Linked DNA regions of Alligator mississippiensis. The protein of the gene in region 1 binds, or shares a complex with, the protein of each later gene. Links are inferred from orthologs where the notes say so. Each region holds a gene or a part of one and is shown in the gene's direction. Other genes may lie near its edges.

What was found.
Region 2: EIF3J (region 1) and EIF3M share a complex: the UniProt entries of both Homo sapiens proteins name them as parts of the eukaryotic translation initiation factor 3 (eIF-3) complex. The link is inferred for Alligator mississippiensis from reciprocal best matches to the Homo sapiens genes EIF3J and EIF3M.

Annotation. Positions count from the first base shown.
Region 1 is NC_081834.1:1,710,505-1,725,598, forward strand, and holds the start of EIF3J (eukaryotic translation initiation factor 3 subunit J), read left to right. Parts: upstream 1-8,594; 5' UTR 8,595-8,676; coding exon 8,677-8,701; intron 8,702-8,774; coding exon 8,775-8,875; intron 8,876-15,094. UniProt on the Homo sapiens protein: Component of the eukaryotic translation initiation factor 3 (eIF-3) complex, which is required for several steps in the initiation of protein synthesis.
Region 2 is NC_081825.1:205,260,933-205,276,177, reverse strand, and holds the start of EIF3M (eukaryotic translation initiation factor 3 subunit M), read left to right. Parts: upstream 1-7,412; 5' UTR 7,413-7,480; coding exon 7,481-7,522; intron 7,523-8,582; coding exon 8,583-8,715; intron 8,716-11,242; coding exon 11,243-11,381; intron 11,382-11,812; coding exon 11,813-11,936; intron 11,937-12,482; coding exon 12,483-12,577; intron 12,578-15,245. UniProt on the Homo sapiens protein: Component of the eukaryotic translation initiation factor 3 (eIF-3) complex, which is required for several steps in the initiation of protein synthesis.

The DNA of each region.
Region 1 (15,094 bases):
AAAAAAAAGTAATCTCACCCCCCTGGTAGGGGAAAAGAACGGGGACCTTCTTGCGTACTTTCTGACAGAAACAGTCAACGGCTCCTCCAAGAAAGGAATTAGACCTTCAAAGCATGCAATAGTTCAGATAGCATTAAAGAAACCAGTCACTGGCGTGAGTAATCTAGGCAAATGTCACCTCTGTGGAAACTCTTTGCCAAGTCAGTCAACTGAAAAGCAACTGAATGGTCTCCAGGTGACATCTTTTATTTGCTAATATCCATGAGCCATCTCAGTCTGTGTATGAAAACTCCTTAAAATGACTCAGTTCCTCTCTCTCAGACCAAACACTGCAGGGTTATCATACAGGATGATCAGGGTACAAGCCTAAGGTTTAGGATATCCAGGGTCACACCCCTGTACTTGACTTCCTGCGTGTCTTTGGAAAGCCACCGAGGGCCAGATTTGTAAAGGTGCCTCATTTCCATTAAAACCCATGTTGAGGTAGAGACAAATATTTGGCCCTTAGTTGCTCTCTGCCTCATTGGGATGTCAGAGGGTGACTACATTAGAGACCATGAGTCACAGATTCCATGAAAAGTACTAATTGAAAGAATTTCTAGGTAGATGAGCAAATTCTCTCTCTGCCCCTGCCTGGCTCTATCCTTTTCCCATCTTATTGACCATCTATAGGGAATCTCTGGGGAAAGCTCAGTGGACAAGAGAGTCCAAACAGTTAATAATATGTAGCCCCCTACCTTACTCTACATGATATTCTGTACATGAAATGGAAGAAAAATCTCTCCCAAGGTCAACTGACACCAGGCAACTCCTATGTGATGCTGGCAGAAAGATGGAAGCTCTTTGTGAATTCCTCTGCATCCAAGCTACCGGTAGTTGCTTGTTAAAATAGATTTCTAACCTCTTCAGGATTGAATGAGACAAGAATCCAAGTAGATCAGTGTGCACAGTACTACTCATTATTGCTCCCTTTGACAGGTCAATGGGTGGAAATATGTCATCAGCCTAACCCTGGTTCTCTGTTAGGGTTCCACTTGTGCAATAGACTCTCAATATAACTGGAGCGCAAACTTCCTACCCATTCTTCTGTGAAAGAAACTGCCCTCTCCCCAGCCTAGCCTGTGAGACTAAGGGACATCCTGGGATAAAATCTCCTCTTTCTTTTCCCCCTAATCCTTGCACAGGAGGCCCGATCAAATTGAGTGGATTATAAACTTCTGATTTAATAAAGAAACCAGTCATTCGTTTGAAATATTCTGGAAAATGCCGAGTTCCAACTACAAATCCGTTAGTAACAAGAAAACTAAGAAGCCTCTAGAGAAATGTTCATGTGCAACTTTTGATCTGACACAAGGCCAGTACTGGAATAGTCTCCCAGGGAAAAAACATAATGGATTTTTTTCCAGGAAAAAGTACTATGAAAAACCTATGACTAATTGCTGAACTATCTAAAGCTATTTACAACTATTTAGGCATCAGAAGAAGATTTAGCAGCTTACTCAAACTCATAGCTTACTCATAGCAAAAGTTGGCAAGAAGGGAAAAAAAGGGACTGCCCTGCCCTTTACAATTTTGGGCGGGAGGCATGAGAAACCCCACCAGACATGCTGGCTAAAATAAAGAAATAAACAAATAATCAGCACTCCAGCTCAAGGGTTATGGGCACATCAGTGGGGAAACAAATTCAGACAAAACTTGAAGAATAACCCATTTTTTTCTGTTTCATAGGAAATTCTGACAGTTCAGATTTTTCTTTCACCCCCAATTCTAGCAAGAGTTAAAAACTTGTCATCATTCCCCCCCCCCCCCCCCCCCCCCCCCCCCCATTTGGTTGATTTATTTTGAAACATTTAGATTTTTCAAATCAGGATTTTCTGGCAGGACAGCTTCTGTCAAACTGTCAATCTGCTCTGTTCACAAAATCACACAGATAAGCTCTGGCCAACCATTTCTTTCTATGTTAGTTGAGATTTCATTTGATTGGAACTACTGTTTTTAATGGTGCACAAATTTAATATGCCATCTTACCTACTTTAACTCATTAAAAGCAGAAAGGATATTCAACCTGGTCCTATGGTATGTGAAAATACCATGATAGGATATGGCCACATGGTGTGTTATACTTCCTGAAAGGATTCTGAAGTTATGATAAAGATTTGGCATGCTCATTACCTCGTATTTCCTTTGTGTCACCTGTGAAAGAAAGCATCAAGAAGTGTGTAAAGAAGTATGCAGCATAAAGAGCGATTTCCAGGAGTCATTCCACGCTCTGACAGTGTCTGGGGCAACCATTTGATTAGATAGTTTTGTGGAAGGTTTCCAAGGTTTTCCAGATAAATAAGTCTTGGTTTCAGACTGGTTTTCTAGCCTCACACTGAGGCTAGTAGAGGGCCCTGATGGGGTGCTTACACAGAGACTTGTTAGAGAAAGCTATTTCCAACTTTAAAACCAAAGAAAGTGAAAACAGGTGGTCAGTAATAGTGTCCTTTAGGAATCATTATTTTATAAGCCCCAGCAGGTAGACTGTGATGAGCAGAAAAAAAACCCAAACTTAATTTCTTTATTATTTATTACTGTATTGTAGGGACTAGTCAGCCACTGCCATTAGCCCGTGCCCCCAGGACATTTGATTCCGTTTAAAATTAAGCTAAAAATAACTCCTTGTCATTTCAACCTAGTCAGGCTGCTTAAAATATATATAATCACACACAAAAAAAAACTCATCAAAACAACATTATTAAATATTGCAAAGGCAAGCACCTGTGTTGGGAAATGCCAGAATCAAGGCTACCTATACATTTGCCTCCTTTGTGCACATGCATTATGGAACAGTTTTTGAATACACAATCAAACACTATTTCCCCCCCACAGGATCCCTGCTCAGCCAGTACACATGGTGGATGGTGCTCAATTGACATGCAGCCATTCAATATTTTATTTTCTTCCTGTTCAGTAGGTGTCCAAAACTATTCAGACCTGGGTATGGAAGATGGAATTATTAGTGAATTGTCTATGGGACTCATCACCATAATATCATAAATATTAATGAATTTATTTTTACAACGGCCTGCAAGATGACGATGTGCTATTTCACCCCATTTTACAGATGAAGAACTGATATATTGAGATCTGAGGGGTAAAAGTAGCCACTAACTTTGGGTGCCCAGTTTAAGATATCTAGAACCAAATCTTTCAAAGCATATAGTATAAAGCACAGCTCCAACTGGCTTCAGTTACAGGTATGACTGTTCAACACTTCTGCAAATCAGACCCTAGGGTCTTTCAAGCAGGATACCAAGAAAAATGAGGAGCACATAATTAGTGATCACCCACTAAGTCTTACTTAAGCAATTTGCCCATTGTGCAGCAACTGCCTTAGACATAAGACAGTCCCTTCTCTGCCTCCAGTCCATAGCCCCTTTCATTAGAGACTGAAGAGACAAGGTTGCACAGACACTAATTCTAGCATTTCCTTACTTTTGACAGCTTGAAATTACAACCTTAATAATTTTATTTCATGTAGTTTTATATATTTCCAAGTTTAAAAAAGGAATAAAAAACAAAACAAAAACACAGCTGTCATAATGTACCAGTGTAGGAATCCTTCCCTCCACAGCCTAGTCTCCTGTCATTTGTGCTAACGAATTAAATAATATTAATAGAAAATTGTCATTTCCTAAGTTGACCAGCACTAGAATGGCAGTGGGTCTGACAGATACTTGGCAGTTACTAACTGAAAGAAGGACCTTGGAATGGGACATCAGGCAGCCATAGATATAGGCATACCTGGTAGGACCGCCAATCATAACATCCTGAAACTGCATACGATATTTTCCTTAAATAACAGGTTCATGAATATAATACACGTGCCCCAAGAAGGAAAAAGAATGTTTAGCATGGAGTACAGATAAATACCAGAGGTTTGAGCTCCCTGGGGGCTGCGTACTGGGGATGCAGTAGGGCCTAATATGGAATGATTGGGTCCAATTCAGTACACCAGCACCAAGGTGGCACGGGGCAGCAGGGCGCAATCTGTCCCACTGGCACTGGGGCTGCATGCTGGGTCCAGCCTTGTGCGCTGCCTTCAGGGCTATGGGCCAAGTCCAGGTCTAGAGACACATGCTGGGCCCAGGGCCATGTGCTGGCACACCAACCCTGCGCTCCATCCTGATCTGATGCACAGCTAGGGTAAGGGGCTCCCCATGGGTCTAGAAATGTCTCTCTCCAGTTAACAACTAAGAACCATTAAAAGACATCCTCACAAAAGTTCTGAGACACTGGAAGAAAATACAGACTTTCTTTGGACACTTTTAAACACAAAAACAGCAATATTCCTCAGCCAGAACCATGCATTTGGCCACCACAAAACTTTGAGAGAGTCTATTTTGCAGCTGGTCCTTAATTCTGCTACACAATAGGGCAAACCAAAAGACTGGGTAGAAAGTCTTCTAAGCTTTGGGGGACTAAGTGAGCAGCTGGAAAAAAAAGTCCAAATTCTGGACCAAATTCAAATTTTGAAGCTATGCAACAGCACAGTGCTCTGGAGAAACTTTTTCTCTGAACGCTCAGCGTACTCTGTTTAAGTGCAGTCTCAACACCGACTTCTGCTAGCAGCCCTTTGACCACTGCTTTCCCTACACTGCTTCAGGCACTCTTCAGGTGGTAAAATCGGTTACAAAATATACACTGACAAGTTGGTATGTGATTAACTGAGTTACAAAGTAGTTAGCAGGGATGAAAGATGCTATGCACTTAACTGGTTTATGCACTTAACCAAGATGTAGATGAAAGATATTTGTTAGAACATGAGCAACAGGCAACAAATTGGGGTTGCCATTATGTTATGCAGTTAAGTGAATGGTGCACTTATGCGTATACATTGATTGGATATGCTTATCTGCATAGGTAAGTGGAGTAGACTATTATTTTATTTTAGGACATACCTCTCCATCCCAACTACTAAGGATAATATTTGGTACTTCTATTTTAAAAGGCTCAGGGCAGCTTATGGTAGAAAACAAAATAACTTATAAAAACAGAAAAAGACAATACAACAAAATAGTATAACTACAATTCCCTTGACATGATGTTCAAAATTTCAGAGGACATTACAAATATGAAATCCCTCCATGACCCTGAGAGGTACTTTTCCTTTCAACAACTTTAACTTTCAAATCAAAAAAAAATCTGGCAGTATATGCTGCCAAACTGTAATTGCAGATATCTTTTTTAATGGATATCCAGATGCTTCTATATACTATTTCTAGGACTTGGTAAAGAATATAGTTCATTTTTTGCTACTATTAAAGGATGCTTTGCTTGCTAATTGGCTTAACTCATATTTAGCCATAATTCAATATTTACTCAATTGAGTAAAAAACAAAACAAAAACAAAACAAAACCCCATAATGACTCCTAGCATAATTTAAACCAGAATTCAAGGTCAATGTGTTTAAAACTAAATTTACATACTTAGAAAATTTAAAAAGTTATTGAGAAAAAAAATCACTTTACACACCCCTTACCAATTATTAGGCACAAGCATCTAATGCTTGTGAAACCACATGCTTCTCTGAACCAGCTAGTCTGTAAGGTGCCAGCCTCCCCTGCCTTCTGCCTGACTTCAGACTAACACAGCTAAGCAATTATTTATGATACTCTTGATTATTAAATATCATCTTACATTTATAAGTTTCCTGATATTTTGCTAGGGCTCAGCAGGCTAGCTTTAGGTCCAACCAACTTTAGGTCACTGCAACAACTGTTTAACAACATACATCAACATGCTGCCATCAATTTAAAATGGAAAATAATAAAACTCTGAACTACAAGAGACAACTGAAACTCATTTCAGGAATTTAGGAAGGCAGATACCCCACTGTTTGAAGTCAGTCAAGACAGGAGACCTTGCCTCAAGTCCTACACTATGTCACTTTAAATACCATGTCACACAAATGACAGCGCCTACAGAAGCACAGTAGTGCTATGAGTCAGCATTGAACTCATGGTCTAGGACAGGGGTTGGCAACCCCACAAAACCACTGGATCCAGCCCACGGATGTGGGGCTTTGGTGGCATTCAGCAGTGCGAGGCTCTGCCTGCAAGTGCTCCCCATGTACTGCCACACAAGAAGGACAAGCGGTGGTAGCCGGTCCTAGCACCTGCCCAAGCACCTGACATGGGGTGTGTTGTTCCGCCCCACAGTGAGCCAGAAAGTTGCTTACCCCTGGTTTAGGAAAAGTAACGGCTACTGAATAACCAACACAACTTCCCACAGTACCCATGTATTCACTGGCTGTCTTCCACCTAAGTATCAGCAATAATCCAGCTCAGCCCTGCTTAGTTAAAGGAACTGACTAGATGACAGCACAAGCTGGTACAAATACAAACAGTTTAAGTCACCATCAATGCCGTTGGCTCTTCTCAACATCTTGCCCTGTTTGAACACTGTTAATGTGCTCAGTGAAAAAGCACATTCAAAATGGGTATGGTTTGTGTTTCCATGTTTCTTTCCTAGGAAAAGAGGAGAAAGGACAATAGTGACAAGGGAACAAGTTTCAATCTAATGTGCCATAAATTGGTGGGACTCCTGGGAAAGATGACACAAGATACAGCTGCTTGCACTATGGGTGAATTTGCCAGTATGAATTTAAATCTGATCACTTGCCTATTCTTTTCATGCATTTAATGGCTATATTTGTTTAAATTATAATTGGTACCTTTTATCCTACTACATCCCATATCTAGCACTTCTTCCTTTGATTCTGTGTTCATTTCCTCTAGATTGAGATAATCCGGCATATTCAACCGCAATAAAACATTGTGTGTTGGTGCCCTGAATGACATTTGCATCTCTTTACCATTATAATTGCAGGCTTATACTGCCAACATATTTACAGTCAAGGAGACTTGCATATGAGAGAGCAAGGGTAAGAGTGAAGTGGCTGACTAGCACTTTACTGTTTTACTTCCTAGAAGTTCATTTATGTATTTATTATATTAAGGTACTTGAGCTTTGCCTCTGTCTTTTCCAGAGGACAGGAGGAACCAGCACAGACTCAGAGATCTTGTCTTCATTAAGAAGTTTATTATTCATATATACACCACATATTACTGACCAAGGGAGTTATAGTTTTCAAATGTTAGATGATCAGAGCCTTGCCTCTCTCTCTGAACACACGTGAGAATGACCAACAGTATTGTCCACGCAAAATATGTCACTTAAACCAGGCCTGCGAAGTTAAAACACTGCAAGGCGCCTAACATGAATGCACCTGTTTACCCCCCGGTTTACCCCCTTGCTGTAAAGGTGCACGTGCAAAGGACACGCGGGTAAAAACAGTGTGTTTTCACGGTGTTAGCTCACGCACCCCGGTCAGTACAGCACCGCTGGAAAGGTGCAGGCAGGTGCAGGTGCAGGTGAACGAAGCCACGTCGTAGCTAAAGCTCCTCGTTAGACTGCGACCACAGCAGCTTCTCCCGGGGCAAAGCAGAACGCCGCGTCCACGCTGAACCTTTTGGTCACGTTAGGCAGGAGATTCATGGTTGAACACCGCGTCTTTTATTTTAGTCTCGGCAAGCCCCCCTCCGCCGTCACGAAAGAACTGCTTCTCCCACCCATCGCCCCCGGAAAAGGGGAGGGAGACCCCAATTATGACGGAGCTCCCAGCCGTGGACCCCAGCCTGCACCCGGAGACGAAGGACTGAAAATAACAGGATGCTTGGAGAGGGCCGGTCGAGACTCCACACCACGAACAAGGGTTGCTGGCCCGGCTGCCCGAAACAGGCGAGCCGACCCCATTTCAGCGCTCTCAGGCCAACTGATTCCCTACCTGGAAGACGTGACGTGAACCTTCGGAAGACCTGGGAAGCAAGCGCAGGATTCGGCAAATTGGGGTGCAACCTCTCCGGCAGGGTGCCCTGTCCTCTCTTCTCCCGATGCGCCGCTCCCGTCCCGTCCTGAACCCTCTCCATGGCTCCACCGGCATCACCCCCAGCCGGGCCCGGCCTGGCCTGGCCTGGCAAGGGCAAGGACAGCTGTCCTGTGGGGACTGCCTGCGCCTCCCACGGGGACGTTCAACAAAGGTGGCAAACTCCAAACCGAGGGAAGGCCCCGGGGTGCCCGCCCCACCCCGCGTAACCGCCAGGAAACCGGGACCCCGCCAATAAAAAAATCCCAATTTTGGGGGCTAAAAAAACCCAACTAACCCCCCCAAAATCCACGCTTAAAATGAAACGCTGCTATATAGGCATCTCTATATTAGTGGCGCTTCATTTTAAAGCACAGGAAACGTGGATTTGGGGTTACTTTTTTTTTAAATCTAAAAACTTGAGGGGCTCAGCTCGCTCATGGCTACGAGCTGCCCCAGACCCACAGGCCCCCTCAGTGGGGGGGGGAGCCTCAGAGACCCCTTTTGAGGGGGGGGCCCAGCCCGACAAACCCCCCTCAGTGGGGGGAGAGGGGGGGCAAGCCTCAGGGACCCCCTCACGGGAGGCCGCCTCAGCCCCGCAGAGGGGGAGGGCCCTAGAGACGAGACCGCCCCGCCCCCCGCTAGCCCCGCCCCCCCGGCGGCCATTCCGCCGCTATCCCGGCATGCCCCGCGCGGCGCGCGGCGAGTCACGGCCCGGCGCGGCGCTCCCTTCTTCCTCCCTTCCCCCCCCCGTCCGCGAGGCAAGATGGCGGCCGAGGCGGACTCGTGGGGTAGGTGCTGCTCCCGCCGCCGCCCCCCGCCCCCCTCCTTCTGCCCCCGCTCACCCGCTCTCTCCCCTCACAGACGCCGACACTTTCGAGGCGGCGGATCCGGCCGCCAAACCGCTGGTGCCGGGCGTGGGCGTCGACCGCTGGGCCGGCGAGGATGAGGAGGACGACGTGAAGGTGCGCGCGGGGGGGGCGGGCACGCGTGTCCTCGAGCGCGGCCCGGCCCGGCCCGGCCCGTCCTGTCCTCTCCCGTGGGGCCGCCTGCCCCGGGGGGGGGCCGGGCTGCGCTCGGGCCGTGTGTGTGCGTATAGGTGTGCATACGTGTGTGTGTAGTGCGTGTCTAGGGGTGGAGGTGTGCATACGTGTGTGTGTGTAGTGCGTGTCTAGGGGTGGAGGTGTGCATACGTGTGAGTATAGTTGCATACGTGTGTGTATAGGCGTGTCTAGGGGTGTAGGTGCATATGTGTGAGTAGTTGCATACATGTGTGTATAGGCGTGTCTAGGGGTGCAGGTGTGTGAGTATAGTTGCATACGTGTGTGTATAGGTGTGTCTAGGGGTGCAGGTGTGTGAGTATAGTTGCAAACGTGTGTGTATAGGCATGTCTAGGGGTGTAGGTGCATATGTGTGAGTAGTTGCAAACGTGTGTGTATAGGCGTGTTTAGGGGTGCAGGTGTGTGAGTATAGTTGCATACGTGTGTGTATAGGCGCGTCTAGGGGTGTAGGTGCATATGTGTGAGTAGTTGCAAACGTGTGTGTATAGGCGTGTTTAGGGGTGCAGGTGTGTGAGTATAGTTGCATACGTGTGTGTGTATAGGCGTGTCTAGGGGTGTAGTTGCATACGTGTGTGTGTAGGTGTATTGGGGGGGTGTAGTGTGTGTGTGTGTGTGTGTGTTTAGGGGTGTGCGTGAGACCAGAAGTCGGCGCTCACAGGCCGGTTTCCAAGCAGCGGGACCGGGTGCGAGATCTGCCCCCGCCCCAGGGCGATCGTGCGTCCTGTTCGCTACCGCTCCGAACTGCACGGCTCGTGGACGACAGTGCGGCGCGGTGCGGCGGGGCTGGGCTCGCTCTGCTGTCCCGCGCGTCTGTCGATGCTGGACCGTCCGGGCAGGTTTGGACAGGGGCGACCCTGCCTCAGGCAGGGGTTTGGACTAGAAGGGAGCCCTACTCCTCTTGCCATCTTTAGTGCTTTGGACGCTTGCACATGAGATGTCGAGCAAAACTGCGCAAGGATATTCTGGGGGGCAGATGTCCGTGAACTTTCTTTTTTCTCTCCTATTTCTACCTTCCTGCTTCGGAGCCAGCGCCCGGGTGCTCACGTCTCTGAAGGTGTCTCGTTTTCTAGAGTACAGAGAAACACTGTCTGTTCTCAGTTTTTTGTGGGTCTCCCCATAGCGAGTTGCTTTATGGTTTCCCAGCTGGTGTTAATCTCGTGCTCCCCGCTGAAGAGCGTGTCACATCCTGTTGGACGGGACTTTGGCCTAGAGAAGCGATGAGACGGGGGTGACGGCCAAAGGGAGATATAAGCAACTGGGCTTGGCGCTGAGAAGGGACTATCTGGAGCCACCGTCTGCTGGCTAGGAACGGTCCCTGCCCTTGCAGTTGTCTTTTAGCCCTAAGACCGCCCTTCCCCGGGAAACCAGACAGCCCTTCAGTGCTACGTAGGATTAGGTGATGAGATGCGACGTAGTGACTTGAGGTGGTTCTCGGAGCTGATTTCGCTGTTTCCTGCGTTTGAGTGTGAATTGTCGCAGATTTCCAAGCCGTAGGAGGGGACGTTCTGTATTTGAAGTTGAGGCCGCTTTGTTTTGTGCACGTCGGTGAACGAACATTGGTAACTTAATACCTAGAATTAAACACTGAATTTAGGTTACTGAGAGATTGCTGTAGACAGTCTTATTATTGGTGACTAGATGATGAAAGAAGTGTGTTCCTCCTTTCTGGTTCGCCCGGACACGGGTGCAAGTAGGTCCTGCTCTAACCTTGATTAGGGTAATTGGTGCTTGCTAGTTGTGGGCTCCAGCACTACTTTTGCTGTTCAGGTTGCAGCCAGGGAAGCATTCGATAGGGGCATACTTTGGCTTTTACAGAGGTGGGGCCTCTGGGTGGGGTGGAGAGAAGCATCTTGCAATAGGGAGGTGCCAGGTGAGTGCAGCACCTTGCTACTAGGGTGTGTCAGGTTGGGGAGCATATTGCACAGCCTGGGGCATTCGCCCCTCCTGCCTCCCCTCTGCCCCACCATTGTCTGCGCTAACTGCCGGACCTTGTGTACGAAGTGTACGGCTGTGTCAGAGTTGCCCATAGCTTGGGTTAGGTGCTGCTTGTAATGAAGACATTAAGAAAACCAAAGTGAACGGTCTCTGTACTATCTTCATTAGGGGTGCACCGATAGAGGTTTTTTGGGGTGATAGCAAAGGCCAATTTTTAAGGAGCCATATCAGCTGATACCGATCTGATTCCAACAAGCATCCCAGCAGCTTGGAGACCAGCAGCAGGCTGGTAAGTCAGGTGGGGGGAGGGAAGGAGCATGGGGGGGTGCCCCTGCGGTGAGAGGGAGTGGGGCAAGGGCAGGCGCTGTTCAGCCAGGGCGGGGCATGGGACGGAGCCATGAGCAGCTCGTGCAGGGGGGATGGCTTTTGCCACTGCGCGCACCCCAGGAGGGCATGGGGAGCATGTGTTCCCAGATCTGTCTGGTGGGCCAGGCTGCAGCTGTGGGCTGGGGGCAGAGGGGGCTGGGCCAGACTGCTCTTGGGGCAGGCGGTGGTGGTGCTGGAGGGAGATTGGGAGGAGGCTATGAGAAACCTTGGGGTGGCTGCAGCGCCCCCCCCCCAATAGCCCCACGCAGATCCGGGGACACTCCTCCCATGCCCTTCTGGAGTGTATGCAGAGTGGGAGCCACCCCAGTGCCCCCCAGATGAGCCGCTCACAGCTCTGTCCCATGCCCCACCCCAGCTGTGCAGTGCCTACCCTGGCCCCACTCTGTCCTGCACTGTGGGGGCCTCGATCTGCACCCCCCCTCCACAGACTTAAAAGCCAATGCTGCTCTCCAAGCTGCTGTGCTGCGCTCCTGGCCGCATGCATGCTGTGGCTGCGCACATGCACAAGGCATTTAACAGCCACATCAGGTGAAAAAAGCCAACTTCCAATAGTAATTTTTCTGTATATCAGTGCCATTTTAGTATGGGACTGATGTATCAATGCACCTCTTATCTTAATGAAGTTAAATACTTCTGTAGGACAAATAGACTTTGAACAGTTTGTAGCTTTAGATGTGCTTCTTTCTCCTGTGTGCGTAACCTACACCCTGTGTTGGTGCACAGTGGTTAGGCTATTTTTTAACAGAGGGGAAACAGCCTGAATTGGCATTTTACAGCCCCCAAACCTGTTCTGGCAAGTAAGGCTTTGCTGCCACGTTTTCCCTGAAACACTCAACAACTTCCTGCTTCTGCCAAAATGTCTGTCAGATAGATGTGTAGCCACCTAGCTGCTTCCCAGCTGTCTGCTTCTTTTTAAAGGGCTATAACTGGATGTAATCGTGGTCTTTCAGAATGAGAAAACTGCTATGCCATGTATGGTTATTTTAATATAACTCTAGATTCTCTTCTGGTTAGTTTGGTATTTTTTAGGTTTTCTTACTGGTGATTTAAGTGGGTTTTTAAAAAACATTTAAGTTGAATAAAAACATAATGGTAGTAGTAAGCTGAGGAAACTTAAGAGTTACAGACCTTAATAACTAAGGTCTTGCTAAAGTAGCAAGAAGTTACTCTGAAATGTTACCTGGAATATGAAATTATATGGAAGACAGGCCTAGTGCTAAGACGCTTCTGTTTACTTTTGGGCAGTCCTGTGCTTAACAAAGCCTAAACTAGGAAACATGGTTGTCACAGTGTGGGGGAGCAGCTTCCAGACTGCTTTGATTACTTTTGTGCAAAATGGAGCCATCCAGAATGTTAGCTGGAGACTCGGGCAGTGCGATGACTTGTTCTTTCTGCCTGATGGTGGAATAACAAAGGATGATTCTTGGTGGGTTTTTTGCAACCTGAATTTTCATGCATTGGAGACGTATAGAAGAGTGAATATGGATCTGTAACAAGCAGCAGCGGCTAGCGGCTTTGGCCTGGGATCATGCATGTGGAAAGGGAAGCATCAGTTTTATAACTGAACAGTCAGCTATGTATAAACAAGCCCTTGAAATAGTTTAAGATTTCAGCGAGGTTGCTGTAGTATCAGCATTGGAAAGGTGTCACTTCTGGACTGCTTAGTTTTGGGGTAACAGTGAAAAAAATAAGACTCTAGAAGAAATTGCACTGGTTTCATGAAAGTTACTCAGATTTTTAAAATGTATCCTGGACTCCTGTCCCGTACACTAAAAGCTGTTAAAAGACTGTCCTTAAGCGTATAGACCATAGTCCTGCCCTGTCAACAGTTTTGGAGAAGAGCTGGGGGGAAATGAGGAGTTCGTTGCCTTGCTAGAAGACTGATATCTGAGTTCTGGCAGACAACGCTAGGGAATGTCCTGCCAGCAGGAGTGTCGTATTTGTCTTGGGCTGCTCCAGCTTGTGCTTCTGCAGATCTCCACCGTGACAGCCTGTCATTTGGGGGACGGGGGGGAGGTGCTGCCTCGCGAACTAGGCGCCAAGTCATTGCCAGCTTCGTAGATTAAAGCAACGTGTGGAATTCTACCCAGAAGCTGACTGGAGGCCTGTGCAAATTACGGGACACTTGGGAGCATGCTAGACTGATGCTCCAGTTCCACTTCGGTGTGCTGTATTAGGCTGTTCCAGCTTCATTTCCTAAGTGATCTTAAGGGAGAGGCCCATGTGGAATGTGTTGGAACAGGTTAATTTTGTGAATCCACAACTGTACATGCTTGTGTGCACTGGAGAGAGAAGATCGCACTCTCTGGACAATTACAGATGGAAAAAGGCACTCCTTGCTGCAGCTTTTCCCAGGGCATCCAGGACTGCCCAGCCTGCTTGTCTTGGAAATGATTACATTCCTTCTGAGGTCCACAAAGTTGCCAGCTGGTGACATTAGTTCAGTCCTCTCTAAATTAAACCTTGGTCATCCAGCTCTTGGGTAAGCAGAAGGAAACGCATTCTGTCTTTCTGGCTGAGGCAGATGTAATGGAGACGTAGGTCTGTGCAGTACACTGAGGCCCATGTTTCTTAGGCATGTTGAATTTGGTAAGGTAGACTTGTGTGGTAGAGTGAGAGAGAGATCTCTCATTGCGAATCTGCTGTACCCATTAATGCTTGCTGATGAGTTAACAATCTTAAGGGTCACAGCACCCTGTTTTACAAGAGATGTCTTGGAAGGACAGGGGATCAGATGAGGAAGCAGCCTATAAACAGCAGTGCCTACAACAGTAATAAAAGGGTGATGTAAGGAAAAGGTGTAGCTGAGATTGCTGTGAGCCAAGATGATGATTGTTACTGAAAATTCAAGCTAGCTTTGTGGAGTGTGGAGAAGAAGTTTGAATTGGAGGTGCACTGAGAACAAGGAGCAATGGTCTCAAGTTGCAGCAAGAGAAGTTTGGGTTAGATATTAGGAAGAATTTTCTCACGAGGAGGGTAGTAAAAGACTGGAACAGGTTATTCAGAGAGGTGGTGCAGTCTCCATCCTTGGAAGTTTTTAAGACCTGGCTAGGCGAAGCCTTGGCTGGGCTGGTCCTGCTTGGAGCAGGGGGTTGGACTAGATGTGACCTCCTGAGGTGCCTTCCAAACCTAACTTTTTATGATATATTGGTTGCATAGTGGATCAGCAGTGCTAAAAGGAAAATTAACATTATTTTTTTGGCTGGTGTAGCCAATAATGTCACCAATAAATGCTGTGTGTATGTGCACCGCTGCAGCATGCATGCAGCCACGAATGCAGCTAGGCAGCTTGGAGAGCAGCATTCTGGTGGTAAGTCTGTAGGGGGGAAGGGTGTAGGGAGGCACAGACTGAGGCCCCCATGGTGAGGAAGGGAGTGGGGCTGGGACAGGGACAGATGCTGCCCAGCCAGGGCGGTGAATGCGACCCTGGGGCTAGGAGCAGGACGAAGCCATGGGCAGCTTGCTGGGGGGGCGGGGGTGGATCTTAGCTGTGTGAACCCCCAGAGGGAAACACGGGGGCATGTGGCCCCCGGATTTGTGCACAGGGCAGAGGCGGGCTGCCCACTGTGGGCTTGGGGCCAGGGGCTGTGAGCGGAGTGGGCTCAGCTGCGTGGGGTGGGCGGTGGTGCTGGGAGGGGTGGCTATGGGAATTTTGGGGTGGCCGTAGCTCCCCAAGCCCCCCTCCCCCCCCCCCGGGACATTCTGCTCTGCTTCCTTTCCCTTGGGAGTGGCAGGCAGGGTTCCCAAGGGGAAGGGCAGCGGGGGGAGGGGCCGAAGCAGGGGTGATGCTAGGAAGGGCTT
Region 2 (15,245 bases), on another chromosome or scaffold:
AAACAAAAATTGGATTTGGTTGTTTTATTCCCTTACCCCACAAATGTGTTGTACTTTAGAAAACTCAGGAATATCAAGTCTTGTCTCAGTTAGTTTGCTGAAGATTTCTTTTGAATATTTCAGTTATGTGAACTGGAAATTTTCTCAACCCTTAACAGAAGGGGCATGCCATGAATGTTTGGCAAGAGACCTTTCTTGTTTTTACAGGGGTTTAAGTTAAATAGGCTTTAACAACAACTAACTAAAAACAAAATGTTTTAAACAGTATGGCTAAAAATCCCCTCTCTCTCTCAGGTAAGGTTAAATCCAAAGTTACCTATGATATCATGAACCTAGTAGTTCTCCAATTGTCAATAAGATAGGTAAGACCCTGACTGTAAAAAACAGAAAACAATTCATTATTATTGAAGTAAAGAAAAGATAAAACATTTCAGACTTCCTTTCTACACCATGAAAAATGGGTACTACAGATATGAAAATACAGATATAATTTTAAGATCTGCAAATATTTATGAAGGGGGGAGGGATGGACATTATTATTCTCTCCATTTTACAGATAGGAAAACTGAAACAAAGGCGGACCGAATGTCTTGCCAAAGTTCACAAGACAAGTAATTTGCTCATCTAGGATTAGAATTCAAGACACTTACAATTTCAGTCCTGCGAGCTAAACATGTCACCTCCCTACTTATTCTTCTGGAGTGCTGGGTTTAATTATTCCTGTCCTTTTCTCACCATGTATCAGAGTCATCCAATGCAAGGAAAAATACAATAGCTAGCTTCTGGAAAAAATACATTTTTGAGTTAGCTTTTACTACAATTAATTATTGGAATAGATTAGAAAGGGACCAGAATCAAAACCCTGGTCTGCTCCCCACAGCACTTAAGAGGTGTTCAAGCTTTGAGGCCTGATCTGAAGCAAAACTTAAATCTTTATAATGGAATGAACTAGAATAGGGCCCATGGGCCAACTGGTGGCCCATGGGCTACATGCAGCCTGTAAGGAGTAAGTTGTGCCCCTCAGACTTCTGCCTACCTATATTGCTCTGGCAACAACAACAGCCGGGGTCCCTGGGCTGTCCCTCCTTCCTCTGGCTGCCTTGGGGGTGTCCCAGGGAGCACCCCAGGGAGCAGGGCAATGTGGCAAACAGTGCAGCAAGCTGAGAGTGAGTATAGGGCCATGTGTGCTGGGGGGACAGGACAGTGTATGTGGGCAATTCCACCCATGTACTACAGCAGTAGGAGGAGTGCCACTGAGGGCATGTGCTGCAGCATTATTAGGAATCATGCTCACACACTCACACGTTGAAGTGGGGAAGGGAGTGGGGAAGGTATTGTGCTCATGTACCGTTGCATTGCAGCAGGGGTCTCATGTACCTGTGCAGTGTAGCAAGGAGTTGGGTGCCCAGTGCAGTAGTATGGAGGTGCCTATGCAGGTGTACAGTGCAACAGGAGGGTGTGGGGGAGTGTCTGTACAACCCAGTGGCTCACTTGTGAGGCCTCCAATGCCTGTGGCCCCTGGGGGCTTATAAATTGGACACCCCTAAACTAGAACAAAATGGAAAAGCCCTGTTAACATCTGGGCTCTGGAATGTTTCAGTACAAATATAGATCTTAACTTGAGTTTGCAGCTAATTGTCACACTCTTCTATGTGTTAGCAAATATTCTATATCTCATACAACTCATAATATCTGGGTGCCTTCCAGAGGTGCACTTGACTTCCAGAACTGGGAAGTCACAAATCTGAGTGCCTCTCAGAACTGTGCTGTTATTTGACTGACATTGTCACACATAGGTTGTTCTCTCATTCAGGGGAAGAAATTTGTGTTCAACGGAACGTGTTGCTTTCATAAGATTGTTTTTAAATGTCTATGGAGCCAAATACCTACATAGTCATACAGTAGTGCTGAGCAGTAACCAGTGCAATTAAAAATACACAAACTGCCAACTGACTGCAGTAACAAAGTAATAATAAGGAAAATGGCCAAATGAATCAGAAGTTTATCAAAAACCGAGGCAAAATAACAGCCCGATGAAATCAAGAGGAGTTTTGTCATTGACTTCAAGGCCAGGATGTCACCCTAGGAAGGGTTAAATTGAAAGTAACTTATGGTGAAGGTATATACATTACACATAGACCTACTAAATCTGTGGGATGTTAAGCAGTGTTAAAGTTAGAAATCGTTGTGGGCAGTCATGCATTTATGGGCAGTACTATCTCTTGCTTGCTCTGCTCTGTCTTACCACTTGAGGGCTGGTGAGCAGGGACATAGCTAGCAGCTGGAACACCTGACCTCTATCCTTGCTCTGGGGGACAGTGAGGGGGATTGGGAGCAGTACATCTTGGGATGCTGGAAGACTGCAAACTGCAAATCCATGGAGCAGATTGAAGTTACTCTAACAAGTTGGGAAGCATGGCCCAGAGTTAACCCATGCCTGAAGTGGCATAATTCTGAGATACTCAGGGGGCACTTAACATGAGTTAACTAGTTTTAACGTGTAGATACTTATGTTTTAAGTGCCCTTACTTTGGTCTAAGTGCAATGTGTAATGTCACCCTCAGGCCCATAGCCTCAAAAGTGTCTAAGTCCCATTTAAATCATTAGGATTTAAGCACCTACCTCCTATTTAGGCACCTAAATACATTTTAAAATTTGGACCTTGCTATATACTTACAGAGGTATCCTGCATACATAACCTTCAGCTTTGGAAATATGGAATTAATTTTGCACCTCTGTACTGAGAAGTATTGTTTTGTCAGCTACAACTTACTATTAAACATTGAAACTACTTGAAACTGCTGTTTAAACATTGCAACTGCAGTTGGCAAAAATATATGTGCGCTCAAACAGAAACAATTTGAAAAAATTATACATATAATTAAGGTAGTGAAAAGACAAGAAGTGAGAGAAGGAAACTGCCAAAGAGTAAAGGCCAAGAACTGGACTTTACAGACTGTAGAGATGAGCAGTTTTATTTAAAAGATAAAGAAACCAAGCAATACTAAATAGGTACCTAAACACTTTTTTCTTTCAAGTAAAGCAGTCCGGTCTACTTACCAGTGTAATTTATGCAGGAACCAGTGAGTAAATATGTCAGAACGAATCTGTATTACTGCAACAACTTGACTGCATATAGAATATGTCTTAATGATATATCAAACCAAAAAGCTCATAAATCAGAGAATTGTGCTGTTACCTGTGCAATTTATAAAAAGTAGGTTTTGTAGAGGAGTAATTTTCTGTCTCTGCAGCCTGAGTTGTTACAATGACTAGCTGTGACTGCCTGAAATCTGTTCTGCCTTTTCAAGAATCTTGAACTCTGCAGTTATATTGCAGAGAATTCAAAATTAAGTCATGCTATTCATAGGCTTTGGTTTTTGCTGACGGGTTTGTTGGGGGGGGGAGGGGGGGGTTGGTTTGGGGTTTTTTTGCGTTCCTGAACAAAGCCTCACGCACACCCAGAAAAGTCAGTGTTCTTCAACCTGGCTCACCCAATGTGGCTCGTGGGTGCTGAGCAACCGCTGATTTTTTTCACTGGGTGCTTCAGCCCCAGGGTACCCACAGAGTCAGCACCTGTGATGCTACTGACAAAAGATTCTTCAGGTAGCTGCTATTAATCCATTAAAATGGAAAAGAGGACACCTAAGTTTGTACTCTGTAATTTGTTCAACCTGACTGCATGAGTTCCAATTTATATCTAAAAACTCCTCACTGTACCTATTTGAAGTTTGGAAGGGTGGGCACAAGCCTCCAAAATGTAGGGCTCCCTCCCTCAGAGGCAAGAGGGGCCAGAGAACCCAGAAATAAATGACTTGAAAAAACAAGGGTGGAAGTTGCAGATACAAAATATAAGAAGCCCACTAAGCAGAAAACCCCAGCCTAAGGGCCTCCAAACCAAAGACAAGTATCAGACCTTAAGGTAAACCAAGGCAATGATGGGAAGATAACATAAAAATGGATCTGAACAGGATAGGCAAAGATGCCAAAAGGTAAAAGGAGACTGCATATGACAAGAGGAGATGGAAGGTTGCAGTTAAGGTGGTTACAGGCCCCCTGAGGCCTGTGACACCAGGGGAAGAGCCCAGAGAGAAGGCAGGGGAGATTTATACCTTATAGACTAATTATATCAGATGTACAGCATCAGCTTTTGTGAGCAGTGGGCTTATGCTGCATCTCTCTGATGCAGCTACCATATTCATGGTATATTAGTTGATATTTGAAACCAAAATATTTACCCTTAAATTTCCATCTCGACTTATGCACTATGTCAATACTTTGAAATAAAAACATATTGTGTTTCAAAATTCATTTGTCCTCAGCCGGACCCTGCACCCTGCCGTACCCAGCCCACAGACAGGCAGCATGCTGGTGTCTGGGAATTTCCCTGGCACTGACTGAGGTCAGGCCAGGCTCCTGCCTCCCCCCTGTCTAATACCCCAGAGCCAGGCTGGGCACCCAAACCTTGCACCCATTGAGTCTGGCCAAGGGACACTTACCCACAGCCCAGTGGCTGTCCTGTGGGTAGATCTTGGCCAGCTGCCACTTGATGGCGCAGGAGCTGCAGCACTGCTGCCTGCTGCCAACAGCACCAGGGCACAGAGTGGCAGCAGCACTTGCCAGGAGCCACTCACAGCCCCCAGTGCTGAGCTCCATTGCTGCCCACCCAGCTGTGGCTGCAGCTCACAGGCTCTGGCCACAGCGGCCATCACTGACCCACATTTATATAGCACTGGGATAAGGTAACAGCTGAGTTCAAGCACCTGATGCCTCCCCTGGAGGTGTATGTGGTGAGGCGGTGTCAACTTACACACCAGATCTACAAAAATCCTAACTTTTTTTTATAAGAAATATGGGATCAACTTATATGTCACATAGACTTGTACACGGTAAAATATGGTAGTCTATAAGGTGCAAGTCTCCTCTGCCTTCTACCTGAAACAGACCAAGGGTGGATCCAGGGGGCGGTGCAATGGTGCAGTTAAAACCCTAAATAATCCCTGGTCCACTGAAATTTTAAAACCAACTACCCAGTAGCTGCATTTCTATTCAGGCAGCAGCTGAGACAATCAGCTAACTTCATGGATCATGATCATCCCTCTGATTCCTGCTAATCTCTCTCCACTCATTAGGTGTTAACAACCCTCTCTCCTTTTGAAGAGTCTTGATGTTGCACTATTCAAACAATCCGTGCCTCTGCAATGTTGCTGTTACCATTCCTGGGAGTGACTCTCTTCTATCTCACAAACTTATAAGCTGTTTTTAGCTCTAGCTAAACACCTTCACTCAGGTACAGGAATATGAATTCAGGCATGGGAGTATAAACTCAGATGTAGAAATAACTCCTAGTGAAGCACCGGAGACTCAGGAAGGCTAGATCTTATTTTACGAATCTGAATGAGAGTAATGACTGTGGAACTAAAGACAATATTTTTTACTGCATTTGCCTAGTTTGGGGGGGGGGGGGGGTTCAACTACGTATAGACCCTAGCACATTCATTTGCATGCCAATAGTTCTAGTGGTTTTTGCTTTGATCTCAGACTGACTCAGATACAGAAGTTTTGCTAATCTGCTAATTTCTCTTCAGCATTGCCAGGTCTTAAATATGAAATTATCATATTGGAAGCTCAAAATGATTGTATTTGCTGAAAAACTATTGCACACTGAAAAATATGCAAATAAGTACACAAATAACTATGCAAATAAGTCTTATTTACTTTATATTGCTCACTGCACGCCTCCAGTGAGTGAGAATTGGGTCATCTAAATTGAAGCATTTCTTTATTTCTAGGCAAGCAGTCAAACATAGGCACTCAGACCTCACAATCAAGGACTGTATTAAAATGGGGCTGAGTAAAATGTACTGGTACTACAGGAAGACAGAAGAGGATGATGGGAAAGAGTAGGATTACCATACATCTGGGTTTTCCTGGACATGTCCTCTTCTTTGGCCCCCTGTCCTAATGCTCAGGCGGGTTTTTAAAATGCAAGTAAAGGTCTAGGTTTTTGCTTTGCCTCCTCTTTTCCCAGCAGCTTGGATGCTTGGGGCTGGGAGCAGTGGGCAAAGTGATTTGCTGTGGGGGGTCACGTGCTCTACGTGCAGGCCCCAGCAAGTAAGTGTGTGCATGTGTGTGTGCACGCACACGTGCACAGGAGCTGCTTGGGCAGTAGGGTTGGGGGGAAAGTGGGCTCTGGATTGGGAGTAAGGAGCACTGACAGGGCTGTGGGGCAGGGTGCTGCAGATTAGGAATGAGGGGCACCGGCAGCGCCTGGGGGGGGCATAGGAGTGAGGGGCAGAGGCAGGGCACAGGCATATCGCTGCCACCTCCCCAGCCCCCAATCATGTAACCCCACTCCACTCTCCTGCCCACTGGTGTCCTCTTTTTTGATTTTGGAAATATGGTAATCATAGAGAAAGAGATGGTGGACCTCATATGGTAGAAAAGGGACTAGAAAAGACTTTTCATAGGCAAGCTCTCCAAAGAGAACAATGAGGACAACGGTGAGGATGGCAACAAAGGCAAGGACAAATATGATGACAAGCAAAAGCGCTGGAATGGTGATGGGTGTGTGGCAAACTGTAAGAGGACTAAAATACTTTAACTGTCAAAGTGTGTTTTGGCTTGTCAAGTGAACCACAGTGTATATATGTGTGTGTGTATATATACACACACAAATACATACACAAAGAAAGACAGCAAACCAAATGTAAGTTAAGACTCTCTGAGACTACCTCAGTTTTGCACACATCAATGAGATGCCTCAAAAATTATGGCAGACAAGGTTCCTTGGGTGAATTTGATATCTTTTATTAGACCAACCCAAATAGTTGGAGAATAGTTATTAAGCAAGCTTTCAGGTTCAAAGAGCACACACCAACTGCTGAAACTTCCTTAGCCTGATGAAGGGTTTTTGAACCCGAAAGCTTGCTTAATAACTATTCTCCAACTATTTGGGTTGGTCTAATAAAAGATATCAAATTCACCCAAGGAACCTTGTCTGCCTATGTCCTTAGACCAACACGGCTACAACCTAAACCCCTGTAACATCAAAAATTATGGGGCATTTTGAGCACTTTCTCTAGGCCGGACTGTACACCGTGCAAGGGTAGGGTGAAAAGTAGGCCCAACTACGATAACTGCCGCACACCTGGCAACCCAGACGGGAGAACAAGGGGCGCCGCGTGCTGACGTGACGCACCAACGACGTGAGGAGACGTCGTAGCATCATTCCAGCGCGCAGTGCCTCGCGCAGAGGGAGGCCCCGGCACACCCCGGCCCTGGCAGAGGGACACATTGCGCATGCGCCCATGAACGCTGGGCAGGGACGCTCGCGCGCAGTACTTAGCGTCAGAACAGTCCTCCCCTTCCCGTACCCCGGAAGCGGAAGCGAGGTGTGCAGCTCACCGGAAGCGACCCGTTCTTTCCGGTGCGGGCGGCGTGCTCGGTCCAGGTGGTAAAGCCAGCGGTCGCCGCCACCATGAGCGTCCCAGCCTTCATCGATATCACCGAGGAGGACCAGGTCAGGGGCGTGGCCGGCTCCGGAGGGACGCAAGCGTCCGGCGCGGGGAGGGGTGGCGGCCGAGTTGGAGGGGACGCGGCAGAGCCGGCAGGGGGCAGCTGCTCCGCGCCTCCCGCCCTCGCCTTGGGCCCCGCGGGGAGGGCTCGAGGGCTGTTCAACTGCCCTGACGGCCGCGCGTACGGGGGCGGATGGCTCCTGAGCTCAGCACGAGTGTCATAGAAGCGAGGCGGGCGAGCGTCTTAGTAACCTGCTCTTGAAAATTTCCAGGCGTGGTGATTTCAGTTTCCCTGGGTAGCCTGTGCCAATGCTTAATCGTCCTCATAGGACGTTTCTTCTAATCTCAAACCTGAACTTTCTCAGCTGCGGTGTGAGGCCGTTGCTTATAGTCCTGTCCTCTGCAGCCACAAAGAGCCCGCCTCCATCTCTTATAATCCCTTTTCACATATTTGACAACAATTATCAACCCCCAGCCTACTCCCTTTCCCTCCTCCCCTCCCCCTCTTCTCTTATCCAAACTAAATAACCCTAGTTCTTTAAGCCTTTTCTCATGAGTCTGGTTTCACAGGCCTCTAAACATTTTTGGCCCTCTCCACCGGAGTTTTTCCAATCTCTCCACAAATTTCTTGAATTAGGGACAGCATGCTCTGGTTGAGGCCTTGCCAGTGCCAAAAAGCACAGAAAAGTCTCTTCCATTGATTTGCCATTAACAGGACTGTCATTAAGTTTATGGAGGTCACTGGATTTTTAATTTACCTTGCTAATTCGTGAAAAAACTCCAAACTGCCTTCATTAGGATTTTACAGAAAGCTCAGATGGTCTAATAAAAGGTATCATTTTGGAACCAGGAGTTCTAGGTTTTTGCATTTCTTACAGAAAGTTAAGGGATTACTTACCAGTAACTAATTTTCTTTAGTATATATTGTTCTCATACTTTTCTCACTAACACATGCCCATACAGAGAATGAAAATGTGAACAATTAGGCTTTTTTCTAATAAAGTCAGTGTCATAGGGTTTTTATTACTAGTTTGAACTGCTTGCATTTGTTTCTTCCTTTAAAAGGCGGCAGAACTTCGAGCTTACCTAAAATCAAAAGGTGCTGAGATTTCTGAAGAGAATTCTGAAGGTGGACTTCATATTGACTTAGCTCAGATTATTGAAGCCTGCGATGTATGTCTGAAGGATGATGATAAAGGTTTGTGTCTTTAGAAGTCCAGGTATGGACATTTTTGGCAAGCATATTCAGGAACATTATGATGAAGTACAGAGCTTGCGATACACCCCAGACTTGCATGGGAAGCTTACAGGGCAGATGGTCCGAGAGTAAGTGTCTTCATTACTTCACTACTCAAACAATAGGCCAGTGTGAACTAGGATGGCATTTTCAGTGTTGGTCTAGTTGTTTCTATTTGAAAATTGCATAGAACTCATATTTACCTAAATGGGAACGGAGTTAGGGCAATGCTGGATTTTTTTTTTTTTAATCCCGCCCTAAATTTTTAAAGGGACCAAGCTATGTAAGAACATCAAGGTTTTTTCATAAAATGAAAGAAACCCATTGGGAACTTCAAAATTTCTGTGTACTAAAGGTGTTTGCCTACAGTGAAAAGGATGCAATAGCACAGTGACCCTCTCCTTGGCTAGTAGTAATTAAAAAATAGATTGTGTGGCCATCTGAGGCAGTGTTTAATCTTTTTGGTCTATGGTATAGTGGTCTGTGGGAGTTGAGCCAATCTTAGCCCTCCTCTCTTTAAATATGCATAATGAATGCGCAGGAGAAGCCAACAAAAGTCATTGGTACTAACAACATCTCTAATTGTTGGCAAGTTTTGGACACTTGTTCCATGACCTTCACTGCATAAAACATGTACATTAACTGGTTATGTTCAGTAGAAGATCAGCATATAATACTTTACTTTCTGCAGATAACATTTATTCACCACAGCCTGTCATGCCAGTTATAGTGAAGCTAAGGAGGTGTTTATGTGGGACTTTAGGGGGTACCCAATTATTCTCAGAGAGGACACGCTAGACATGCTACTCTCCATTTTTGTCATTCTCCATTTTATCATGCTGTCATTCATCTCTAGATGGATCTTCACCCTTTCAAACATAGGATTTTATTCAATATTGGCTGTAGATTTGTTGCATCTAAATGACACCCACATATGAAGAATTAGTCAGAATTGAGCACACTCTAAAGTTAGATTAGCCTGATCAATAAAAATTGCTGGAGCATTCCCATTTGACATCAGTGGATTTGAAATTAAGAACTGTGAGAATAGATTGGGTCAGGGATTTTGGCTCATAGTTGTTCTGTCATGTATATAGTTTTGGCACAAAACTGCCACCACAATTTAATGTGAATTCACACCTTCGTTGCCAGTCTTGGTCTTTCTGCAACCCTCACCACCATGAAGTCTGAGGGCCTCTTCAGACTGTTACACAAAATAACATTTTTCACAGGCAGCTAACTTTATCTCCTTCTCTCAGGGTAGAGTTTTGGCAGCTTTTAAAAATAAGCATGTACTTACTGATACTTGTTTCTGTCAAGACTGTGTTCCACTGTCTGGGACTGACTCCAGAGAAAGCTCTGTGTCCTGGAAATGAAATGGACTCTTGTGATATAAGGTTCCATTGGGTTTGGTTAGCAGGCATTGACCAGCTCCTCATCCGCAAGCTAAGGCAGTCTTGATAAGTTACTGAGTGCTCTTAAGATAGGGACACAGGCCTTGAAATGTACACTGTCTTCCTTTGAATCAAAAGTGGGATGTCAGTTTAATGTCACAGATCAAGTTCTCTTCTCTCCATATATGTGGTAATTGTTGATCAGGTTCAGAAGCATTTGAGGTTAGTTTTAGGGCAGGGGTTTTCAACCTTTTTGAATCAGTGTACCCCCGGCAGCAGGACACGGAGCAGGTGGTGGGGAGAGACAAGGTAGGGGGTAGCATGCAGCTGAACCTGGAGCTTACTCCCGTGTCCAGCAGGTGGGCAGCACAGGATGGTGCGTGGCGGCTCTCTGTCCCTGCCCACCTGCGCATACCCCCTAGGGCAGGGGTGGGCAAAATGCGGCCCATGGGCCACATTCAACCCGCCAAGCCATTCTGTTCAGCCCGCAGGGCCCCTAAACAATGTAGAAAATGAATGTTTATCTGCCCCTTGCTGCCTGTCATGCGGCCCTCGATGGCTTGCCAAAACTCAGTAAGCGGCCCTCCACCCCAAATAATTGCCCACCCCTGCCCTACGGCCTTCTCAAGTACCCCCTGGTTGACAACCCCAGTTTTAGGGGATTGGTTTGCCATTTACTATTTTATTTTTTAAATCTGTTTTTTACTATAAATCTCCCTGAGCCTTTTTTGTGTAGAGCACCATATAAATCAAATAAAGTAAATCATGTTTTGGCAGAGAACTGGGTGACCTTGAGCTGCTGTCATTGGTGGTGCTTAAACAACAATTTAAATTTTATATGATGGTATACTTTCCAGTGGAAACGCTGGTGTCTCTCCACACTTGGTGTTCAGTCTAATAAATAGCTGAACTTATTTAATTATTTTTTAAAATCCTTTCCTGGATTTACACTCTTATTGTATGTCTTGCTAAGACAAAACAAGCATTAATGGCAGGAGCACTTCTTCAGCAATAAAGGATTAATTGTTTCTTAATTATGATGGTTGTTTGCAGTATTAAATTGATGCCTGCTTTTTTTTTCTTCTTGGGTGTAGATGTTGAGAGTGTTATGAACAGTGTGGTGTCTCTGCTGCTTATCCTGGAGCTTGACAAACAGGAAGCTTTGATTGAAAGTCTTTGTGAGAAGTTGGTGAAATTTCGGGAAGGCGAGCGTCCATGTCTCAGGCTGCAGCTGTAAGTAACCCTGTGAAGCCAGTGGAACACAATATTTTACAAAATAATCACTTTTTTAAGAGACTCATGTTTTAGTGTCTGTTATGTTTAAAAGACAAGGTGGGAAAACTGTGGGACCTGGCTTCTGTTGAGTATGGAGGGGCAGTGTCGATTTCTGCCCCCTTCTTCCCCTCTGTAAAAATGAGAGAGCTCTGTTTAATTCCCTGGGCTGTTGTGTAGCTAACTTAATCACAGTATATAAAGTGCTTCCAGATCCTTTGACGGAAGGCACTCTGAAACTGTGACCTCTTAAAATCTGCCATAGAATTGAAATGGTGATGCTTGTACAATGATTAAAATTTTATATGATAGTACTCTTGTCTGTGCATACCATTCATTAACACTTAGCCATACTCACTAGACTTAAATTATTCTTGTTCTTTATAATTTAGACTCAGCAATCTCTTTCATGGTATGGATAAGAACACTCCTGTGAGATATACAGTCTACAGCAGCCTTCTTAAAGTGGCCTCATCATGTGGTGCCATTCAGTACATTCCAACTGAACTAGATCAGGTAATGAATTGGTTGTCACTAGTTATTTTGTATTAAGTACGCCTCCTCTCTTATGAAAGGGTATCTAGAAGTAATACAGAGTGGTTCTGGCTGCTGAAAGATGTCAAGCCCTATTGGAATTAAAGGCAAATTTTGTAGCGTAGGTGTCTAATCTTGTAAAAGTTCTTTATAATCTAAGCATATAATAATTCCTTTATGTTAAATACCTCACAGGATCTGCCTGTTGCTTTGTTGGGCTGGGATGGAGGGTAAGAGCTGGAACCAGCATTAGGGCATCAGTTCTCTGTCCTCTGCTTTGGTGGCAGAGTTCAGTATATCCATCCCTTCCTCTTAAGAAGACAAAGCACAGATTTGGAGACTTCAGTTCACAGAAGTTCTAATTCTGGGCATTAGGATAAATATCCAACCAAGATCTGTAGGATAGGTCCTTTCCATCCTTTTTTTTCTCCTGCTAAACATCTTGGAGCGAAGCGGGCAGTATTTGCAATTCTAAGAGGTATTTCTCAAAGGGAAGCAACACATCTTTATGAATTTTTTTCTCTATAGGTTCGAAAATGGATTTCTGATTGGAAACTCAGCACAGAGAAAAAGCATACACTTCTAAGACTGCTGTATGATGTACTAGTGGACTGCAAGAAAAGGTATATGAAGATAAGGAATACAGACTATAAATTTTCAGTAGGTTTAAATTGTTACATTGTGTAAAGTTTGAAGCAAATATTTAACTGATGCACTGGGCATATTTTTACATCTCCTCAAATAACTATTTTAAGAACTCTTTTTAAGTTAAATGATTTTCTCCGAGGAGAGGATGGTGGTAAAGTCATAGTAGACTGGTTGTGAGGCATAAACATAAAGAAGTAAAACTTCTGTTTTTCTTCTGGAAATGATATAAACGTTAATCCTCAAGCTTTATAACATTATGCCAAGTTTATTATTTAATGGCGCTTTGATGTTTTAGTGCGTGGCAGTGCTATCTCTGTTGTTTGATTGATAGACTCCCGGTACCATTAAAGCTAGCACAATCAGCCTCTTATATAAACATTACCTTTAAGACAAAGCTTTGCCTTAGACATAGATATTAGTAAAATGGCTGCTGAGCTATTTTAAAATATGGTCCTGGATCATAAGCAGAATCATTGATATAATGAACTTGGCAAATGAAAATTCTATGTAATTCTGTACATAAGTTTGTTAGCAAATTAATGTTAGTGTTAATTAATTGACAGTAGCTCTTGGTAGTTGGTAAGCCAGCTCAGTTCTTCAGAGGTATTGAATAATAAGTGATATACGAGAGACAAACCCTCAAACTTTTGTCACTCATATTTAAATAAGGAATAGTCTTCCTGTTTTCTAGTCTGGTTTTAACACTCCACTGTTGCATTTAGATGCACATGGGCATACCACCTCTGTATCCTGCTGGGGAGCACTGCAGTTAGGCGTAGCTTGCCTGTTCAGCACTAAATACAAAGGTGGATGCAGTGCTGCTCTGTGTGTGCCAATATACAGTTTCTTATCCATTTAACCATTAGTGATAGGATGGATTTGCCCTGATGATAGCTATTAGATAATAAAATAATGGAAATTAGCAAAAGACTCACTCCTACAGTGGATACTATCCACTATGAATGTTTTGTGAAAGCACTGAGTTCATATTCTTTTACAGTTCTGCTCTGTAAATACCAGAGTATATAAATACTTACTGTAAATACTTTCCACCAGCTGAATTGGAATCCTTATATCATTTAAATTAACCATTTGCTAGCTTTGCTTATCAAGACCTCATATGGCATGGCATAGCATAATTTTTCTGTTTTAACTTTGAGGAAGGAGAAGAACCAAAACCCTTGAGCTATAGGCATTGTAGATATTGAAAGGACCTTTTTATTTGCTAGTTGTCAGTTGAATTCTTAAGTTAAGCATTACAAAAAATAATTTGCAAACTCTGATATATTAGTCCTGCCATCTGTAGCAGTGCAGAGTTTGCAGTGGACTGGGCAATTTTTCAGAGCATCTTGCTTCTCCGTAGGGGAAAGAAAACAAGGCGTGACCCTTGCACCTTTGACCTGGTTCATTCTCCTGGATCAGTGGGCACTATCTGCACTACTCTGGGAAACTCACAGCAGCATTCCAGCCTTAGCACTCAGGAATGTCACTAGACCTAGCTGTATGGGAAGACAGATGGGAATGGAGAAAATAAGTGATACAATCATACATTCTGTCTAGTTACAAAGAAGGGAATGAAGAAGCCAGTGCCTCAGAGAACCACAGATTTTTAATTCCAACTTTTCTTCCTAAGAGATGAGAAGTTGTAAGGGAGATTGATATATATATATATATATATATATATATATATATATATATATATAAGTAATATATAGCTGTAGACTACAGTGTCAAGTTCAGGTGGCTCCTGAAGACTTCCTTGGAGTGTCAGAACACCAGAGACTTCCTGTGCCTGAAGAAGGGTGATTGCACCCAAAAGCTTGTAAGAAATTTTTTCCAACTACTCAGTTGGTCTAATAAAAGATATCTCATCTAATCAAAGAATCTTGCCTGCCTGTGGCTCCTGAAAGGTACTTTACAGATGTTAAACATGCATATTCCTTTTTCCCACAATAAGTTTGTTTTTGTTTTAATGAAGACTATTTTAGCTACTTCCTTATGAAAAGTTCCTTTTCCTAATATTCAAAAAGCATCTTGACTGCCTCAGACAGAAAATGTTAACTTTCTGTAATGAATTGAAGACATCTGTAGATACCTGAGAGGCATGTTTCTGAGATCTGTGTGAATCAGACTGTTTTTCCTGTTGCTGGCTTTGTTTCTCATGTCACATTTTGTGGAGGTTCTGCAGTGCTGCTTTGTACCTTGGCTGCCTCTGTACTTTGCATTTTTCTAGCTTTGGCAGAGTATAACTGCAAGGCATCTTCTGACCATAGAATCACAGAGTTAGAACAGACCTGAAGAGTCAGCTAGTCCAACCTCCACAAATGCTGGATATGTTCTTCCTCCCAGACCATCCCAAATAGATGCCTATCCAGCCTGTCAGATTCCACGACTTCCATCGGCAGCTTGTTCAATTGTTAAAGTTATTCTTAAAGTTAGGAAGTCGTTTTTATTATTAGTATTCTGAAATTTGATTTAAAGTTTGCTTGACTGCAGTTTAAACCCATTGCTTTGTGTCTTGCCTTCTCTGGGAAGGGAGAGCAGTTCTTTCTCCCTCTTCTTTCAAATACTTGAGAACTGCTATGATTCCTCATCCTTAATCTCCTTTTCTCCAAATTAAGTATACTTCATTCTCTTACCCTC